Macaca fascicularis: one gene and its partners. The protein of the gene in region 1 interacts with the protein of each later gene in a biochemical or structural test. Links are inferred from orthologs where the notes say so. Each region holds a gene or a part of one and is shown on either strand. Other genes may lie near its edges. The genes, in order: ABL1, RIN1, RAD51 and CRKL.

Region 1 (4,919 bases):
ACAACTCTTCTGTATTTAATTTCACTCTCGTTGCTGACGATCAGGCTATCTCGTGCACCATCGCCTCAAGCTGCTGCCTCCTGTCATTCCCCTCTTCCCGCTTGCCTTGTGATTTCATGGTTAATGTTCATGAACCAAAGATTAGATTCCTACCTCCCTGGGAGAATCAGGAAGTGAGAGGAAACAGATTATACAGGAGAGCGTTTTTAGGATACATTTGGGTACACATCAGGAAGAAAGAGGGAAGTAGGAAACACAGTTTGGGTAAAGAATGTCATGGGCTTTGTTTTATTTTGTCCCATCAAGTCTGGATAGGACAAGTGGAGATGCACTCTGATAAAAGTTTCTTGCAATCAAAGACTGGGCTAAGTGTTTGTCTCTGTGCCTGGCATAGAGTAGCAATAACTGCACTTAATATTCTCGACACATCAATCAAAGCATTTAGCATATTAATTAATTACACTCACAGCAGCCCTAAGAGGTGGGTGCCATTATTATCGTCTTCATTTTACGGATGAGGTAACTGAGTCCCAAGGTAATTAACTTGCTCCAGGTCATGGGGCCAGGGAGCCCGCTCCCAGCACCAGCCTCTCGCGATGTTGGGATCTATCTCAAGGTGTGTTTGCTGAGAGGCTGGCACTGTGTTAATTGCAGTGGGCATTAATACAAATTTCCAGGGCACTGGACTCAATCTTCCCATTGTCAGCATTGCAGCTTCGCTCAACAGTGGTGGATTTGTGAAGTGGAAAGTTGGCCAGGAGCTCTCATGGGTGAACATTTTTCTTTCTTAGAGATCTTGCTGCCCGAAACTGCCTGGTAGGGGAGAACCACTTGGTGAAGGTAGCTGATTTTGGCCTGAGCAGGTTGATGACAGGGGACACCTACACAGCCCATGCCGGAGCCAAGTTCCCCATCAAATGGACTGCACCCGAGAGCCTGGCCTACAACAAGTTCTCCATCAAGTCCGACGTCTGGGGTAAGGGTTGCTGCTGCACTGAAGTGGTCCTTCCTGGCTACGGGAGGGTTTTTTTTTGGTTTTTTTTTTTTTTCTGCCTCTTTCTTGCTCTTCCCTTTTTTTTCCCCTTTTTTTCTTGCTCTTCCTTTCTTTTTGTTTTTTTGAGAGGGAGTCTCACTCTGTCACCCAGGCTGGAGTGCAGTGGTACAATCTTGGCTCAGTGCAGCCTCTGCCTCCCAGGTTCAAGCAATTCTCCTGCCTCAGTGTCTTGAGTAGCTGGGATTATAGGCACCCGTCACCATGCCCAGCTAATTTTTGGTATTTTTAGTAGAGATGGGGTTTCACCATGTTGGCCAGGCTGGTCTAGAACTCCTGACCTCAGGTGATCCACCTGCCTTGGCCTCCCAAAGTGCTGGGATTACAGGTGTGAGCCACTGCACCCAGCCACCTTTTTTTTTTTTTTTTTTTAAAACCTTTGGCCTGAGGTCCAAATATGGTGCACAGTGTATCTGCTGATTTGTCTGTTAAAACAGTGTCCTCTGTGAGCCCCCTCCATGTCTTTATTTCCCTTGCTGTTTGTTTATTGAAGAAATCATCATTTGTTCCGCAGAGTTTCTTACGTTCTGAGTTTTGCCCATTGTCTCCAATGGTGTGATTTAATGTTCCTCTGGCTTCCATATTCCTAGTTAAGGGTGGCTGAATCTGGACAGCCTCATCACATTCAGGTTTGACTGTTTTTCTTTTAGTAAGAGTGGATCAGAAGAGATGGTGTGCCCTTCCATCAGTAGACATAAAATGCTTGATTTTCTTTCTTTTTGTTTTTGTTTTTGTTTTGTTTTGTTTTTTTGAGACGGAGTTTCGCTCTTGTTGCCCAGGCTGGAGTATAGTAGCACAATCTCGGCTCGCTGCAACCTCTGCCTTCCGGTTTCAAGTGATTCTCCTGCCTCAGCCTCCTGAGTAGCTGGGATTACAGGTGCCTGCCACCACCCCTGACTAATTTTTGCATTTTTAGTAGAGGCAGGGGTTTTACCATGTTGGCCAGGATGGTCTCGAACTCCTGACCTCGTGATCTGCCCACCTCGGTCTCCCAGAGTGCTGGGATACAGCTGTGAGCCACTGCGCCCGGCCCCAAAATGCTTGATTTTCTATCTTTTTAAAATTTTTTTGAGTAATTTTTAGCAGTTATTGATATACAGTGCCTAGATCCAATAGTTTACTAGGTGTTGCCAGATGGGAATTCTCTAATTCTGTCATTCCTATTCAGTTGTTAGTGGAATACTTGTATGAGGAGAAACAGTTCCTCATCTCTTTGGTTACTCAGTGGTACAGTTCATATAGGAAGAGCAGGATCAATTCTTGCTTCTTTGGTTTTATTTACCAGTTCTTTTTTTTTTTTTTTGAGATGGAGTCTCGCTCTGTCGCCCAGGCTGGAGTGCAGTGGCCGGATCTCAGCTCACTGCAAGCTCCGCATCCTGGGTTTACGCCATTCTCCTGCCTCAGCCTCCCAAGTAGCTGGGACTACAGGTGCCCGCCACCTCGCCCGGCTAGTTTTTTGTATTTTTTAGTAGAGATGGGGTTTCACCGTGTTAGCCAGGATGGTCTCGATCTGACCTCGTGATCCGCCCGTCTTGGCCTCCCAAAGTGTTGGGATTACAGGCTTGAGCCACCGCGCCCGGCCTTTTACCAGTTCTTTTTTTTTTTTTTTTTTTTGAGGCGAAGTCTCGCTCTGTCGCCCAGGCTGGAGTGCAGTGGCCGGATCTCCGCTCACTGCAAGCTCCGCCTCCCGGGTTCTCGCCATTCTCCTGCCTCAGCCTCCCGCGTAGCTGGGACTACAGGCGCCGCCACCACGCCCGGCTAATTTTTTGTATTTTTAGTAGAGACGGGTTTCACTGTGTTAGCCAGGATGGTCTCGATCTCCTGACCTCGTGATCCGCCCGTCTCGGCCTCCCAAAGTGCTGGGATTACAGGCTTGAGCCACCGCGCCCGGCCTACCAGTTCTTAAAATAACAAATTAGTTTCTTTTTTTTGGAGACAGTCTTGCTTTGTCACACAGGCTGTAGCGTGATCTCAGCTCACTGCAACCTCCGCCTCCTGTGTTTCAAGCAATTCTTCTGCCTTAGTCTCCCAAGTAACTGGGATTGCAGGTGCCTGCCACCACTCCAGGCTAATTTTTTTTGTATTTTTAGTAAAGATGGGGCTTCACCATGTTGCCCAGGCTGGTCCTGAACTTCTGAGCTCAGACAATCTGCCCACCTTGGCCTCCCAAAGTGCTGGGATTATAGGCATGAGCCACCATGCCCTGCCACAGGTTAGTTTTTTTTTTGTTTTGTTTTGTTTTGTTTTGTTTTTTTGAGATGATGTCTCCCTCTGTCGCCCAGGCGGGAGTGCAGTGGTGCGATCTCAGCTCACTGCAAGCTCCGCCTCCAGGGTTCACGCCATTCTCCTGCCTCAGCCTCCCGAGTAGCTGAGACTACAGGCGCCCACCACCGCGCCCGGCTAAATTTTTTTTGTATTTTTAGTAGAGATGGGGTTTCACCGCATTAGCCAGGATGGTCTCAATCTCCTGACCTCGTGATCCGCCCGCCTCGGCCTCCCAAAGTGCACAAGTTAGTTTCTTAATACCCTTCAGTGGTGGCCAATTAGGTTTTTGTTGTTGTCATTTGTGGTATTATTATGAACTCTCAGATTTATATATATTTGATGTGTTTCAATCCACTGTGGTTATTTTCCCTGTTGATACTCAGATTGTCTCATCTTGGCCAGTGGGAACTTCACATTAGCTCCTAGTCATTTTGACATTACCTGTGTAGTTTTCTGTGATATCCATGCCCTCAAATGACAAGATTATTGCAGGTTCATTCTGTGCCCCAGGCCTGAATCACCCGTTTCTCCAAGGAATCTTACCCTTTAATGGGAAATGGAATTTCAAGGCAATAATCTGAGATTTCAAAACATTCGAAGATTTTGTAAGATTTTTATGAAATGTTTAGAGTTAGAAGGGGCTTTGGAGATAGTCTTGTGCACCCGGAAAGCAGTGGTGGCCAGTTAGGCACAGAGCTGGTTGGTCACAGAGCTATGAGTTAACATGGCCGGCTGACTTCCAGTGCCAGTTTCCTTCTACCACATATCCCGGCAAGATGGTCACATTACCTAAAATACCCCACAGGGTCTGATAACTCATCTTCTGCCCTCCTCCAGCATGTTTGTCTGTGGGGTAAGTTTACTGAGTCTTGTTCTGTCCTGGTGTTTTTTTTGTTTTGTTTTGTTTTTTTTTGAGACAGAGTCTTGCTCTTGTCGCCCAGGCTGGAGCAATCTCGGCTCACTGCAAACTCTGCCTCCCAGATTCAAGCAATTCTCCTGCCTCAGCCTCCGAAGTAGCCAGGACGACTGCTGTGCACCAACACACCTGGCTAATTTTGTATTTTTAGTAGAGATGGGGTTTTGCCATGTTGGCCAGGGTGATCTTGAACTCCTGACCTCAAACGATCCTCCCACCCCAGCCTCCCAAAGTGCTGGGATTACAGGCGTGAGCAACTGCACCTGGCCTTGTCCTGGTCTTCTGATGATAAAGAGTCTGGTAAAATGTCAGAGCCTGGGCTGCTGCTGGGGCCATCCCTTCTGAGGTCTGCTGCAGATGTAACCGATTTTAAATGTAGTGTAGTGAAATGCTGCACATCTTGAACAGCCTCTTTCGGTTTTCTTTCAGCATTTGGAGTATTGCTTTGGGAAATTGCTACCTATGGCATGTCCCCTTACCCGGGAATTGACCTGTCCCAGGTGTATGAGCTGCTGGAGAAGGACTACCGCATGGAGCGCCCAGAAGGCTGCCCAGAGAAGGTCTATGAACTCATGCGAGCATGTAAGCCTTCCTCAGCCTGTTCTCACAAGTATATGTGGGCATTCCAGGAAATTCCAACTATGCAGGAGTGTGTACACAAAGTTGAAAGTTTTTCCATGAGCTCTC
Region 2 (5,376 bases), on another chromosome or scaffold:
CGGGAGAGCCGTTGAGCTGGCCAGCGGTCAGGAGCATGGGAGCTCTGGCTTGGGGGGCCCTATGTTCCTGGCCCTGGGGGCATAGCACTAAGGCAGCAGCCCACACGCCACAGAGGTGGGAGGTGGGGCAGGGATTGCCAGGCTGTAGGTGGGCTCTCAGGGGGGCTTTTCTTCTCATCCACCCAGGCTAGGGCAGCTGTGTCCCCTCAGAAGAGAAAATCGGATGGTAAGAACTATGGCTGTTGTACGGCCTCCCCTGCCCGCCTTGCCATCACCTTCCCTCAGCTCAGCCTCCAGGAAGGAGCCCAGAGAGAGGCTGTGGCTGTGTCAGAATCAGTGGCCCAAGAAAGTTAGGATGGTCTAGATTTGAGGGGCTTGTGGGAGTTTGAGGAGCAGGAACCAGGATGGGGCTGGGGAAGCCTGGGTTGATGGAGCTCCCACTCAGGAGGGGTCAGGGAGGGCCGTGGAGCTGCCCAGGAGGCCTGTCCTGGGCCAGCCCAAAGTCACTCCGCTCAGTAAGTGGCTGCCCCCCTCCTTTCAGCTTCCTCACTGGTGACAGTTTTCTCCTTCCCACATACGCACAGGACCGTGACCCTGCTGTTCAGAGCCAGGGGGACCCTCAGAGCAGCTGGCACCGCACCCAGGATTCTCATCTTCCTGCTGCAGACAGGCAGACCCACAGGCCCCTCAGGGTCTGCCCAGCCAGGCTCCTGTGGTGCTGCTGGGCCCTCCCACTCCGCTGGCACTGGCCTGGACTCCTCCTCTGCCCTCCTCGAGGCCTGCACAGCTGTGGCTGTGGAGCCGACCTGGCCAGGCAAGGCTGCTGTCTCCATCCCTGAGCCGCCTGCCACCTCCCGCTCCTGAAGATCCGCCTCTTGGGGCTCCCCTGACAGAGAAGACAGCTGAAGTCAAAGCCACATCCTCTTGCTGACCTTGGATGCAGGCTCTCCGGCCTCAGGGCCAGGGAGCCAGGCCCCACTGTGCAGGAACTCTGAGTCAGACGTGATATCTAGGGGGGCTGTCCACCCTGGCTGGGGCTGGAGGCGAGATGCCAGGCCCCCCAGGTTTTCTCAGGGCAGTTCTTGGTGTCTGCCTCTCAGATTTCAAGGACTAGAATTAAAACCTTTCCTGGGATTCTGGTGTGCCCCGTGTATGTGTGATTTACCTTGCAAGAGAATCAGGGCTTCTGTGGGGAGCACCTGAACCAGGCTGACTTCTGAGGTGCCTGCAGATTGCCACTCCTTGCACTGCCCAGCAGAGGCTGGAGCACTGTGCGTGGGGCCACACTGGGGAGGGGGAGGTGGGCGCTGGGCTGCCTGGCACTGGGCAGAGAACATATGGCGCCAGCGGAGTGCCTCGGGTGGGGAGGATGGGTGCGTGTGCTTGAAGCCTGGGTCATGTCTGCACCTGTCCCAGTTGCCTGGCAGATTGGCAAGGCAGGCTGGCAGAGCCTGCATGCGTAGGAGGCAGCCGGCAGCAGCACCATGTGCTAACGACCTCACAGCCAGACTCCCCCTGGTTAGTGCTGAGTGTCAGAACCACCCCCAGAACCTCAGTTAAGCAAATAGGTTGGTTTCCATGGAGACGTGGCATATTTTCTCCATGGCAACCTAAAATCCTAAAACCCATGTTCAGGAATGAGTCATCTATGGACAGTAGAGGGTGCTCTCCCACAAGGCTGACCTGAGGCCAGGGGCAGATGAGCAACTGACCACAGACCCAGAGGTGCCCCCAGAGTGTGGCTGGGGCCTGCGGGGACTGAGTCGGCCGTTTAACCACTTCCCGCCCACCTGTGCAATTTGAGGAGCTGGTGAGGCTGCAGGAGGCCCTGTGTGGAGGTGGCACCCCCCAGCTGGGGCCCTCAGAGCAGGGCTAGCACGGAGGGGATCCCTGACCCCCGAAGCAGGGTCCAGAACAGAGGAGGCAGGCACTGGCCAGGCGGGGTGGACACACAAGAGTTAACAGGCGGGTGTGACAGGCGGACCGCCCTCAGGAAGTGTTACTCACTGGGGATGTGCGTGCCTTGCCTTGGGGTTGGATTCTCTTCCTGAAGCCGAAGGAGCTCCCAGCCATGGAAAGCCCTGGAGAGTCAGGCACGGGCCCTCCGGGAGCCCCCAGCCCATCCAGCTTCACTCCTGGGCACCTGGAGACAGAAAAGTTAGTGAAGTTGGCAGGGCAGCCAGGTGGGGCAGGGAGGGGCTGCGAGAAGAGGGTCTATCTGGGGATGGAGAAGGTGGGAAACCTGGGAGCGGGGAAGAGGAGAGCAAGGGTCCCAGCCCCTGGCTCCCTGCTCAGATCTGGATGCCCGCCCTCAGGCCAGCCCAGGACCCACTGTATGACGTGCCCAATGCCAGCGGCGGGCAGGCAGGCGGGCCACAGCGGCCGGGACGCGTTGTGAGCCTGCGGGAGCGCCTGCTGCTCACCCGGCCTGTGTGGCTGCAGCTGCAAGCCAACGCAGCCGCGGCACTGCACGTGCTGAGGACCGAGCCCCCGGGGGTGAGTCTTGCCCCCAACCTCCAGGGACTGGCCAGCCAGGGGTGGGAGGGAGAAGGGTGGAATGCCAAGGTCCTGAGCTGCCTGAGCCCTATCCACTTGCAGACGTTCCTCGTGCGGAAATCTAACACCCGACAGTGCCAGGCCCTGTGCATGCGACTGCCCGAAGCCAGCGGCCCCTCCTTCGTCTCCAGCCACTACATCCTGGAGAGCCCTGGCGGTGAGGGGCTGGCCTGGCAGGAAGGGGCTGGAAGGAGGGAGGTTCCCTAGAGAAGCACCTCACTTCCCTCCTCTCTCAGGCGTCTCCTTGGAGGGCTCGGAGCTCATGTTCCCAGACCTAGTCCAGCTCATCTGTGCCTACTGCCACACCCGGTGAGTCTGCCTGCAGGGTGCCCGGTGTCCACGGGCCCTGCTCCTTGGGACAGCCCATCCTCCCCACCCCCTTCGGCCCTCACTCCCTTCTGCTCCCCTCTCTGGCCTCAGGGACATCCTTCTCCTCCCGCTGCAGCTCCCCAGAGCCATCCACCGTGCAGCCACCCACAAAGAGCTGGAGGCCATCTCCCATCTGGGCATTGGTAAGAGCTCCTTGCCACCCATTGCACAGATGAAAAGGCTGAGGGGAGGGGAAGGCTCGCAGCACACGGCCCGAAGCCCATGCCTTTCCTTGGTTGGGAAACTTCCCCTAACCAATCCTGGAGGCCCCAGTTGGTTTCTTGTTCCCTAGAGTTCTGGAGCTCCTCCCTCAACATCAAGGCTCAGCGGGGCCCGGCTGGAGGCCCAGTGTTGCCCCAGCTGAAGGCCCGGTCCCCTCAAGAGCTGGACCAGGGCACCGGAGCCGCCTTGTGCTTCTTCAACCCCCTGTTCCCGGGGGACCTGGGGCCCACCAAGCGGGAGAAATTCAAGAGAAGCTTCAAAGTGCGCGTGTCCACAGAGACTTCCAGCCCCCTGTCTCCACCTGCCGTGCCGCCTCCCCCGGTCCCTGTGTTGCCAGGGGCAGTCCCCAGCCAGACAGAGCGGCTGCCCCCTTGCCAGTTGCTGCGGAGGGAGAGTTCAGTGGGGTACCGCGTGCCAGCAGGCGGTGACCCTAGCCTTCCGCCTATGCCCTCCCTCCAGGAGGTGGACTGCGGCTCCCCCAGCAGCTCCGAGGAGGAGGGGGCGCCAGGGTCCCGGGGGAGCCCAGCGACCTCACCCCACCTGGGCCGCCGGCGGCCTCTGCTTCGGTCCATGAGTGCCGCCTTCTGCTCCCTACTGGCGCCGGAGCGGCAGGTGGGCCGGGCCGCGGCGGCACTGATGCAGGACCGACACACAGCCGCAGGCCAGCTGGTGCAGGACCTACTGACCCAGGTGCGGGCCGGGCCTGAGCCCCAGGAGCTGCAGGGCATCCGTCAGGCACTGAGCCGGGCCCGGGCCATGCTGAGCGTGGAGCTGGGCCCTGAGAAGCTGCTGCCGCCTAAAAGGCTGGGTGAGGCTCCGTCTCTCCATAGCTCCAGCACTGCCCCATCCGACCCTCTGCTCCCCTCCACAGCGCCAGCCTGTCTGATTCTGTTCTGCTGCTTTACAAACCCACCCTGTCTTACCACTGTTCGAGAGAGTTCCATCCTCTCTCTCCCCAAACTCTTCTGTCTCACCCAGGCTACCTCCTCCTGCTTTCCTTGCCTCTCCTCCCCGATTCTACCCCTGCTCCCTTCTCCCCTGGCCTCTGTCCCCCATCTCCCCTGGCCTCTGTCCCCCATCTCCCCAGTCTTCCCCTGACCCCTCCCTGCCCCTCCTCTGGCAGAACATGTCCTGGAGAAGTCATTGCATCGCTCTGTGCTCAAGCCTCTCCGGCCCATCCTGGCAGCCCGCGTGCGGCGCCGGCTTGCCGCAGACGGCTCCCTGGGCCGCCTAGCTGAGGGCCTCCGCCTGGCCCGGGCCCAGGGTCCCGGAGCTTTTGGGTCCCACCTGAGCCTGCCCTCCCCAGTAGAGATGGAGCAGGTGCGCCAGAAGTTGCTGCAGCTGCTCCGCACCTACTCACCCAGCGCCCAGGTGAAGCGGCTCCTGCAGGCCTGCAAGCTGCTCTACATGGCCCTGAGGACCCAGGAGGGTATGTCTCTGCCACCACCTCACCCTGCCCTGCCCCTCTGAGTTGGAGGTGGGACCCCCAGTGGCAGGTCCCCAGGACCCTGGAATGGCCCTGCGGGAGAGAATGAGCCCACCCTCCCATCTTGCAGATTGCGAAACTGAGGCCCAGAGAGCAGTGCGTTCTCTCCGAAGCCCTGCCATGGTTGCTAGGCCATGGGGAGGGGTCACTGCCTAAAGCAAGGACTGCACCTGAAGCTTCTTCCTCTCACCATGTCCCCACAGGGGAGGACGCGGGTGCTGACGAGTTCCTGCCTCTGCTGAGCCTCGTCTTGGCCCACTGTGACCTTCCTGAGCTGCTGCTGGAGGCCGAGTACATGTCAGAGCTGCTGGAGCCCAGCCTGCTCACCGGAGAGGGTGAGGGACCCCCACCCACTTCCCTGCCTGGGTGGGCCCTGAATAAGCAGGGAAGGGGAGAGGGGATGGGTGCCCCACACCCAGCCTGAGCCGTGTTATTCCACCCTGTGTCCCAGGTGGCTACTACCTGACCAGCCTGTCTGCCAGCCTGGCCTTGCTGAGTGGCCTGGGTCAGGCCCATACCCTCCCACTGAGTCCTTCGCAGGAGCTACGGCGCTCCCTCAGCCTCTGGGAGCAGCGCCGCCTGCCTGCCACCCACTGCTTCCAGGTAACAGGCCCTCCACCGTGTCCTCAGAGCCAGACACCATCCCCGCCTTTCACCTTCCTGTCCTTGGTGAAGAGTCCAGACTCTGTAGCCAGATCCCGGGTTCTAATCCCAGCTCTGCCACTGGGTTGTGGGGACTTGGG
Region 3 (5,361 bases), on another chromosome or scaffold:
AAAGCCAGGCATGATGGATCACACCTGTAATTCCAGCACTTTGGGAGGCCAAGGCAGGTGGATCACCTGAGGTCAGGAGTTTGAGACCAGCCTGGCCAACATGGTGAAACCCTGTCTCTACTAAAAATACAAAAAATTAGCTGGGTGTGGTGGCGAGTGCCTAAAATCCCAGTTACTTGGGAGGCTGAGGCATGGAGACTCGCTTGCATCTGGGAGGTGGGGGTTGCAGTGAGCTGAGATCGCATCCCTGCACTCCAGCCTGGGTAACAGAGTGAGACTCCATCTAAAAAAAAATAATAATAATAATAATAACAAATTAGTAATAGTGGAGGGGAAATAGATCTAACCAAATAACTTGTCTTCTTAAAAACTTTCAGTGATTTATTCAGTACCTAGAGAACAAAGCTCCTTATATATGTATTTTTTGAGACGGAGTCTTGCTCTGTTGCCCAGGCTGGAGTGCAGTGGGGTGATCTCGACTCACTGCAACCTCCACCTCCCAGGTTCAAGCAATTCTGTGCCTCAGCCTCCCAAGTAGCTGGGATTACTTGCATGCGTCACCACGCCCAGCTACTTTTTGTAGTTTTAGTAGAGATGGGGTTTTGCCATCTTGGCCAGGCTGGTCTTGAACTGACCACGTGATCCACCCACCTTGGCTTCCCAAAGTGCTGGGATTACAGGCTTGAGCCACCGCGCCTGGCCTCTTCTTACATGTTTTGTTGTTGTTGTTGCTTGCTTTTTGGGACAAGATCTCACTCTGTAGCCCAGGTTGGAGTGCAGTGTCCCATCATAGCTCACTGCAGCCTTGACGTCCTGAGCTCAAGCAATCCTCCCACCTCAGCTTCCGGGATAGCTGAGACCACAGGCACAAGCCACCATGCCCAGCTTATTCTTTTTGGAGATATGGGGTCCCACTATGTTGCCCAGGCTGGCCTCCAACTCCTGAGCTCAAGCGATCCTCTCCTGCCTTGGCTTCCCAAAGTGCTGGGATCACAGGCGTGAGCCACTGTGCAGGCCTTATATGATCTTAAGCCTCTTCATATCCTGAACTAAATGTAACTTTCCAGTTTCGGCACTTGTTCTGGCACTTTTCCTCCCTCGCTAGATAATACTAATCTTTAATCATGTAGTTTGTTTCCATGCCCATACTACCCTATCTGCTTATAGTGTCTTCCACTTCGCCCAAGAAATCCTACTCAGCTAGCTTGTGTTGTTTTGAGACACTCTCGTTCTGTCGCCCACGCTGGAGTACAGTGGCGAGATCTCGGTTCGTTGCAACCTCTTCCTCCCGGGTTCAAGCGATTCTCGGCCCTACTCAGCCTTTAAAACCGGAATCACGGGTCAAAACTTTCTGGTAAACCACGAGACGGTTTAGGTTATGAAATTCAATGCCCCCTTCCTCTGAAGTCCTGCAAATCTCCAGTAAAGCACCACAGATTGACGAATATTCCAGCCATTTCCCTCTCCCCTCCGATAGCTCCATTTCTCACTTCTATCCATCTTCTCGAGCTTCCTCAGCTCCTCCACCTCCATGAGGCCTGGAAAGCACCTGGTTCCAGGAATGTGAGTCGGAGGCTCAGAGCTACCAGCGCCAAAAGCTGACGTTCAGATACTGCTGAAACAAACCACAAGAGTGCTAAGGCTCCAGGTAATAGTCCGGCTCCAGGTAATAGTCCAGCTGGGATGACGGTAGGAACTCGCAGGCCCGCCGGCGGTGCATGCCGGGAGATACAGTCCCGGGCCGACGCATTACCTCTTGGGAGTTGTAGTCTTCGATCTGGTAAACAGACCACAGCAACTCTGATGTCTTCCCCCACCGTCCCCCGAAAACCCTCGCCCCACCCGCGAGGGACTAGGGTAAGAGTAGGGGCGTTGCCGTGGTTGGCCTAGAACTCCCAGGCTCAGACGATCCTCTCGCCTCGGCCTCCCGAGTTAGCTGGGACTACGCGCGTGAGCCACCGCGCCCGGCATAAAGTCTGAATTAGTCCTTACGCAAAAAGGGAAGAGGGCAGTCCGTAACCTCGCGCAGGATCAAGCTCTCGAGTTCCAGTCTTGGGCTAGCGCGGTGGGCGGAAGGGGCAAGAAGGCGGATCCGGAAGGCGGAGATACGTTACGCCGACGCGTGCGTGACCCTGGGCGAGAGGGTTTGGCGCGAATTCTGAAAGCCGCCGTCGGAGCGCGCCCAGCGACCAGAGACCGACCCTTAAGGAGAGCGCGGCGCTTCCCGAGGCGTGCAGCTGGGAGCTGAAACTCGTCTGGGTTGTGCGCAGAAGGCTGGGGCAAGCGAGTAGACTTGAAGTAGGGCGTAAGCCAGGGGCGTTGGGGTCCGCGCGGGTCAGGCGCGTGTCACCCCCGCAGGGTGAAGTCGGAGCGCGCGGCCCGTTGGAAAGAGCAGCGCTGAGGGCCAAGGTGAGTGTGTGAGGCGCAGGCCGGGCCCTCTATAGCTGCGGCTCGTCGTCGCCCACCTGGGTCCTGGCCGGTCCAATGCTCAGGGGCAGGTGGGGTCTCCGCGCACAGTGTGAAACCCGGACGTGGCAGGGCGTGTCCGCGTCCGACCGACTCTCAGTTGCTGGGGCGAAAACACAGGTGGATCCCAGTCTTTAGAACTAGGGGAGAAACATTAGAGCCTTCATAGCCAACACCCGTTTTATGAGTTTGAGCGAGGAGTCTGAGATCAGAGCGGTGTAGCCACAGCTGTTTAATATCACAGCCAGGGCTTCCGGATTCTTGGTCTGTCTTTCCGTTACACCGTGCTTAGAAAGTACCAACCTGCAATTGCCAAAACAGTATTTTCGTCATCTAATGCGGAAAACCATTCGCATGATGCCTAGAGAATGATCTGAAGTGAGGCTTGGTTTTCTTAAAACTTTTTTTTTTTTTTTTTTTTTGAGATGAAGTCTCGCTCTTTAGCCCAGGCTGGAGTGTAGTGGCGCGATCTCGGCTCACTGCAACCTCCGCCTCCCGGGTTCAAGCGATTCTCCTACCTCAGCCTCCCAAGGAGCTGGGATTACAGGCTCCCGCCACCACGACTGGCTGATTTTTGTATTTTTAGTAGAGACAGGGTTTCACTATGCTGGTCAGGCTGGTGTCGAACTCCTGACCTCAGGTTATCCACCCGCCTCCACCTCCCAAAGTGCTGGGATTACAGGCGTGAACCACCGCGCCTGGCCCCTGTTTTTTTTTTTTTTTTTGAGACAGAGTCTTGCTCTGTCGCCCAGGCTGGAGTGCAGTGGCGCAATCTCGGCTCACTGCAAGCTCCGCCTCCCGGGTTCACGCCATTCTCCTGCCTCAGCCTCCTGAGTAGCTGGGACTACAGGCTCCCGCCACCGCGCCCGGCTAATTTTTTTTTGTATTTTTAGTAGAAACGGGGTTTCACCGTGGTCTCGATCTCCTGACCTTGTGATCCGCCCGCCTCGGCCTCCCAAAGTGCTGGGATTACAGGCGTGAGCCACCGCGCCCGGCTTTTTTTTTTTTTTTTTAAACTTCTAAAGTGATATGTAATATACATGTAGAAAAATGCACATTCACAACTGTATACAACTCCGTGAATTATTACAAAATATACTGGCCGGGTGTAGTGTCTCAAGTCTGTAGTCCCAGCACTTTAGGAGGTGGAGGCGGGAGGACAATTGAGCCCAAGAGTTCGAGAACAGCCTGGTCAAGATAGTGAGACCAGTATCTCTACAGATAGAAAAAATTAGCCAGGCTTGGTGGCGTGCACCTGTAGGCCCAGCTATTCAGGAGGCTGAGAAGGGAGGATCTAGCCTGGGAAGTATAAGCTGCAGTGAGCCGTGATCAGGCCACTGCACTCCAACCTGGGCGATAGAGCAAGACAAAATGAATGTACACCTACGTAATCACCACTTAATAGAATGGTCCCCAGAAGCCTTCCTTATGTAGTATTTAATATTTTCCCCTTTTTACAGTGGTAACTGGTACACTGGTTTCTAATGCGATTAACTAATGTTGCTCGTTTTTGAATTTTATATAAAAATACATCAGGAGTGTTGAGTGTTTCGTTGTTTTACATGCTTGACAACACGATTTTCAGCCTTTTATATTTAACTATTCTGGCCGGGCGCGGTGATTCACGCCTGTAATCCCAGCACTTTGGGAGGCTGAGACGTGCGGATCACAAGGTCAGGAGATAGAGACCATCCTGGCTAACATGGTGAAACCCGGTCTCTACTAAAAATACAAAAAAAATTAGCCGGGCGTGGTGGCGGGCGCCCGTAGTCCCAGCTACTGGGGAGGCTGAGGCAGGAGAATTGCGGTGAACCGAGATGCAATGAGTCGGGAGGCGGAGCTTGCAGTGAGCCGAGATGGCGCCACTGCACTCCAGCCTGGGCGACAGAGCAAGACTCCGTCTCAAAAAAAAAAAAAAAAAAAAATTTTTTTTTTTTACTATTCTGCTGGTTACACAGTAATGTCTCAATGTGATTTTAATTTTCCTGATTACTAATGAGGTTGGGTATTTGTTCATATGTTTTTCCCATTTGGATATCTTCTGTGATGTACTTGTTCAAATCTCTTGTCTATTTTTCTACTTTTTCTTACTGATGTGAAGTTCTTTTTTTTTTTTTTTTTTGTTGAGACAGAGTCTCGCTTTGTCGCCCAGACTGGAGTGCAGTGGCCGGATCTCAGCTCACTGCAAGCTCCGCCTCCCGGGTTCGCGCCATTCTCCTGCCTCAGCCTCCCCAGTAGCTGGGACTACAGGCGCCCGCCACCATGCCCAGCTAGTTTTTTGTATTTTTTAGTAGAGACGGGGTTTCACCGTGTTAGCCAGGATGGTCTCGATCTCCTGACCTCGTGATCCGCCCGTCTTGGCCTCCCTAAGTGCTGGGATTACAGGCTTGAGCCACCGCGCCAGGCCAAAGTTCTTTATATTCTGGTTATCAGCCCTCAGTTATGTTTGTGCTAAATGTTTTCACCTCTACTGTGGTTTGACTTGTCATTCTCTTAGTGGTGTCCTTTGATGAATAGAAGTGCTGAATTTATTTTTTTATTTTTTATTTTATTTATTTATATTTCCTTTTGAGACAGAGAGTCACTCTTGTTGCCCAAGCTGGAGTGCAATGGCGCGATCTTGGCTGACCGCAACCTCCACCTCCCGGGTTCAAGCGATTCTCCTGCCTCAGCCTCCTGAGTAGCTGGGATTACAGGCATGTGCTACCACGCCCGGCTAATTTTGTATTTTTCTTTAGTAGAGACAGGGTTTCTCCATGTTGGTCAGGCTGGTCTCGAACTCCTGAACTCAGGTGATCTGCCCGTCTCAGCCTCCCAAAGTGCTGGGAGTACAGGCCTGAGCCACAGTGCCTGGCCGAAGTGCTGAATTTAAATGTAGTTCAGCTTTCAGTCTTT
Region 4 (4,410 bases), on another chromosome or scaffold:
GAGTGCAGTGGCATGATCACAGCTTACTGCAACCCTGCAACCTCTGCCTCCTGCGCTTAAGCGATCTTCCCACCTCATCCTCCCAAGTAGCTGGGACTGCAGGTGCATGCCACCATGCCTGGCTCATTTTTGTATTTTAGAGACAGGGTTTCACTGTGTTGCCCAGGCTGGTCTTGAACTCCTGGGCTTAAGTGATCCACCCGCCTCAGCCTCCCAAAGTGCTGGGATTACAGGTGTAAGCCACTGCGCCCAGCCACTTCGTGTTTTTTACACTATGTTATTATCTAACAAAGATTCATCGTGTATCCCACTTAAAAGACAAGTTTTTTGAGGATACGAACTGACCTGCCCATTTTCCATGGAATAGATGTTCAGTAAATTTTATTTAATTGTTTAGGTAGGATCATGTAGAAAGTATCCTGTTAAAGACCGCCAGACTCACAAGTTAATTGGAAGGTATGAGGTGTGAGTGTTCTTGGTAGCTTTCAGTCCCTAGCCTCCTCATCTCCATCTTCCCGTTGTCTTCCTTGGCTGCTCAGTATCCATCACAGTAATTTATTAGACCCCGTTTTCAGCCTGTTCCTCGTTGGTTTTGAGAGGACCCTTGTTGGTGACAAGGTTGGAAATCCTCTGATACATACAGTGCTGTGCTTCTCAGTGCTAATTCCAGCTCTTCCCTTCGTGCATCCAAAGGGTATGATCATTAGAGGGGGCGTGGGGCTGGGTTCTACTCAGGAATCTCTACTCAAGTAACAATCATTTGATTACTGTAAGACCCTTTCAAAGTTGGAAGGAAACTGAGACTTGGAGAACTTAAGCAGTTTGCTACAGTCATGTAGTTTCTAAAAGTGGCAGAACCAGGACATTTGTTTGGTGTCCTGCATGTTCCAAAGTTCATGGCATGGACCACTGGACTGTGCCACCTTGTGCCTGTTTTTATTTTGAGATGTAGTCTTGCTGTGTTGCACAGGCTGGTCTCAAACTCCTGGGCTCAAGCAATCCTCTCACCTCAGCCTGCCAAGTACCTAGAACTACAGGCACGCACCACTATGCCTGGTTCTGTATGTGTTTAAGCAGACGAAAGCTTATTTATTATTGTCTTAGATCTTAGGCGTGTCTTATATTCAAGTAGTGTTTTTATGGACCTGAGTACACAAAATAGAATCTTAGATTAGTGCTCTGCTGAACAGAGAGCACAATGTCTACAATGGCTACCACCTGAAGGTCTTTTTTAAAAATACACCTTTTTGTGTGATTTGACTTTAACTGTTCTCAGAATCATGTGTTCATTTCTATCCTGTTGGGGTTAGTAGCCAAAATAAAGGGTTGGTTTGGGGAGGAGCTGCTTTGTGCTCAAAAGCTGTTTGTGCGTGTGCGTGTTTTTGTTTTTTTGAGCAGGGTCTCACTCAGTTGCCCAGTCTGGAGTGCCATAGAACGATCACGGCTCACTGCAGCCTCAGCCTCATGGGCTCAAGCCATCCTCTCACTTCAGCCTCCTGAGTAGCTGGGACTAGAGTCATGTACCACTACACCCGGCTAATTTTTCTATTTTTTAGAAGAGATGAGGTTTCACCATGTTGCCCAGGCTGGTCTCGAACTCGTGACCTCAGGTAATCCCAGGAGTTCAAGGTACAATGAGCTGTGATCGTGCAACCGCATTCCAGCCTGGGTGACAGACCCTGTCTATAAAAAAATTAATGTGCATGGTGGTGCACGCCTGTAGTCACAGCTATTCAAGAGGTGGTGGTGGAAGGATCACTTGAGCCCAGGTGTTAGAGGTTACATTGAGTAGTGATCTCACCACTACACTCCAGCATGGCTAACAGAGTGAGACTCTGTGTCTAAATAATAATGTATGGGCCCTTTGGATAAGGTAGTGTTTGTGATTTAATGTAAACTGTCTTTTTCTTGTTGCAGAGAAATGCTAACTTTGTCTTCTTCATCCGTACAGGTTGGTGACATTGTGAAAGTCACAAGGATGAATATAAATGGCCAGTGGGAAGGCGAGGTGAATGGGCGCAAAGGGCTTTTTCCCTTTACGCATGTCAAAATCTTTGACCCTCAAAACCCAGATGAAAATGAGTGATTGCCGTTGCCCCGTTTCCTGCTGCTTTGTTGTTCTGCCTGTCCTAGTCTCCTTTGAAGTGGGAAAGCATTCTCTCTCATAGGCAAGTCACACTGCATTGCCGAAGTCCAGCTTTCTGCAGACTGGCAGTCGCACACACATTTGGAATGCACACAGCGACTGCCTCCTGACGTTTGTATCATAGTTGTATTGTCAAAGAGTAGCCGATTTTAGAGTTCTTTTGGATCATAAACTGGAAATACTGATGGAAGCACACAAGTGGAGAGAAGTTGACGAGGAAAGGGTCTTCCTTCTCATCGCTGCCTGTTTGTACATGGGACTGATTCTGTCGTGTTCACCAGAGAAAGCCTGAGGCCATGGCGAGATACTGCATGTTTGCTGTTCCACAGAGCAGTGGCTCAGCTGCCATCTTGCTTTTCTTTGGACAACAGGAACTGAACCTTAAGGAAGAGAGAATTCTGTTCTAAAACTCCAAAATTCGGCTTTTTTTTTTTCTTTTGGTTTGGTTTGGTTTTGGAAAACTAATTAATTAGACTTGTGTGGGGTTTTTTTGTTTTGTTTTGTTTTGTTTTTTGTTTTTTTGAGACGGAGTCTCGCTCCATCACCCAGGCTGGGGTGCAGTGGCGCAATCTTGCCTCCCTGCAGTTTTCGCCTCCCGGGTTCAAGCAATTCTCCTGCCTCAGCCTCCCGAGTAGCTGGGATTACAGGCGCGCACACCACGCCCAACTAATTTTTGTATTTTTAGTAGAGACGGGGTTTCATCATGTTGGCCAGGCTGGTGTCGAACTCCTGACTTCAGGTGATCCACCCGCCTCAGCCCCTCAACGTGCTGGTATTATAGCCATGAGCCGCTGTGCCTGGCCTAGACTTGTGTGTTCTAAACAGGTTAAGTAGCAGGTTGGGTTTTTATGATAGTGCAAGGAATGACACATGCCTCTGAGCTTCTAAACTGAAGCTGCTGTAACTAAAGGAATCTGAAAAGAACAACCCTGAAGCAGAGGCCTTTATTGTCTTGGTTGCCAGTAGTAGTTTGTTTTGCCATGTAGCAGAAAACACACAAAATAATGCAGCTGTGGTGTGCCATGCCATGTGCACAGCCCCTTGGATTACTTTGTTTTAAAAAGCATCAGAGTTGGGGGGTACTTTAGGGAAACCTTTGCTTACCTTGTTTGCCAGTGATAAGAGCAGTGGGTTGGAGGGCAGTTGGCCAGTTTTCTGTTCAGCTTTTCAGTGAATGTACCCCTTTAAGGTTAAGACTTAAATTCCCCTAAAAAGTGGGGTTGTTCATAGAATCATTGGACTCATTAATGAATCGTTAAATTCCACTCACTGAAGCCCAGACCTCCGTACCCAGGCCCAGTCTCACCAGGCTGCCAGAGAAAGTTGGTGCTGCTGATACTGGTCTCACAGTCTAAGTAAGTGTCTGATGCTCCCAAGCAGTGGAAATGCAGGCTCTGGAAATTGGTTAATGTATTTGATGTCTTAGTGTTTTAGTGACTAGGGAGACCATTAACCAGTTTATCATTAACCACTTATCAGTGTATTGATGTTAAAGCATTTCCCTGTTAGCTAAAAGAGGCCTGTTCATACAAGCCAGCTGGTATATATGTGTGGTTCATCCGTCATCTGCTGCTCATGGCAGACTAGAATTCTGGGAACCCTGTGTAATTCAGTCTGTTCTCCCTTCTGGGCCCTGGTAAAGACAAGCCTCAGCTTATAGTGAACACAGCAGACCTAGAAATGTAGCAACAGCCTAATGAGTAACTGTCATTTACTGAGTATCTGCTGTGACTGTGGCCCTGTCTGGAGGTTCCTAGGTTTTGAGATTTAGAACAATGCCTTCTGGAGACAGAACCAGCAAAACAACCATTTTTCAATTTTTCTTTAAATCAGTATTCTATTAGGCAGATAACTGCCATATTCATGAATCTTGAGAGTGTTCCCTGTGACAGAATTAATGGTCAGTTGGGAAAACTATCACCATGGCTTCCCATCTATGGTTCTCCTCTAAAATTCTTAGAGATTAGCCCTTCCTTGCCAGTGAGAACGGTGGCCGCCTCCTGCTCTGCATGGTCTGCGGCAGTTGCCGCTTCTGGTTAGGTGTGTCAGGTTGGTTTATTTTGGGCTCAGGCCTGGCGTAGCACCCACAGGTGGCAGATATATCACAGAGTCCCCAAACTCTGCCTAGAAATAGTGTTTGCCCTTTAGCCAGTGACCTGGTTCATCCCTGCCCAAGTTGAACCCTGAGTGGAGTTTCCAGCAGAGGGATGAATGTGCCTTGTTCAAGGAGGGCACAGACCCTTAAGCCTTTTTCAAACAGATTT

Evidence for each region.
Region 2: of the proteins of ABL1 (region 1) and RIN1, one has a biochemical effect on the other in vitro, tested with the Homo sapiens proteins (2 studies listed by BioGRID and IntAct, with this or other methods). The link is inferred for Macaca fascicularis from reciprocal best matches to the Homo sapiens genes ABL1 and RIN1.
Region 3: the proteins of ABL1 (region 1) and RAD51 form a complex in vitro, tested with the Homo sapiens proteins (2 studies listed by BioGRID). The link is inferred for Macaca fascicularis from reciprocal best matches to the Homo sapiens genes ABL1 and RAD51.
Region 4: the proteins of ABL1 (region 1) and CRKL form a complex in vitro, tested with the Homo sapiens proteins (4 studies listed by BioGRID and IntAct, with this or other methods). The link is inferred for Macaca fascicularis from reciprocal best matches to the Homo sapiens genes ABL1 and CRKL.

The regions. Positions count from the first base shown.
Region 1 is NC_088389.1:12,994,935-12,999,853, reverse strand, and holds part of ABL1 (tyrosine-protein kinase ABL1), read left to right. Parts: intron 1-791; coding exon 792-976; intron 977-4,661; coding exon 4,662-4,814; intron 4,815-4,919. UniProt on the Homo sapiens protein: Non-receptor tyrosine-protein kinase that plays a role in many key processes linked to cell growth and survival such as cytoskeleton remodeling in response to extracellular stimuli, cell motility and adhesion, receptor endocytosis, autophagy, DNA damage response and apoptosis.
Region 2 is NC_088388.1:8,064,601-8,069,976, forward strand, and holds the start of RIN1 (ras and Rab interactor 1), read left to right. Parts: upstream 1-2,036; 5' UTR 2,037-2,071; coding exon 2,072-2,157; exon of another isoform or gene 2,158-2,183; intron 2,184-2,295; exon of another isoform or gene 2,296-2,301; coding exon of another isoform or gene 2,302-2,315; coding exon 2,316-2,496; intron 2,497-2,598; coding exon 2,599-2,713; intron 2,714-2,792; coding exon 2,793-2,865; intron 2,866-2,976; coding exon 2,977-3,068; intron 3,069-3,217; coding exon 3,218-3,955; intron 3,956-4,270; coding exon 4,271-4,576; intron 4,577-4,836; coding exon 4,837-4,968; intron 4,969-5,084; coding exon 5,085-5,236; intron 5,237-5,376. Other genes in the region: BRMS1 (breast cancer metastasis-suppressor 1), read left to right, coding at 187-226, 585-592. UniProt on the Homo sapiens protein: Ras effector protein, which may serve as an inhibitory modulator of neuronal plasticity in aversive memory formation. Can affect Ras signaling at different levels. First, by competing with RAF1 protein for binding to activated Ras.
Region 3 is NC_088381.1:17,222,358-17,227,718, forward strand, and holds the start of RAD51 (DNA repair protein RAD51 homolog 1), read left to right. Parts: upstream 1-2,138; 5' UTR 2,139-2,409; intron 2,410-5,361.
Region 4 is NC_088384.1:31,930,437-31,934,846, forward strand, and holds part of CRKL (crk-like protein), read left to right. Parts: intron 1-1,951; coding exon 1,952-2,086; 3' UTR 2,087-4,410. UniProt on the Homo sapiens protein: May mediate the transduction of intracellular signals.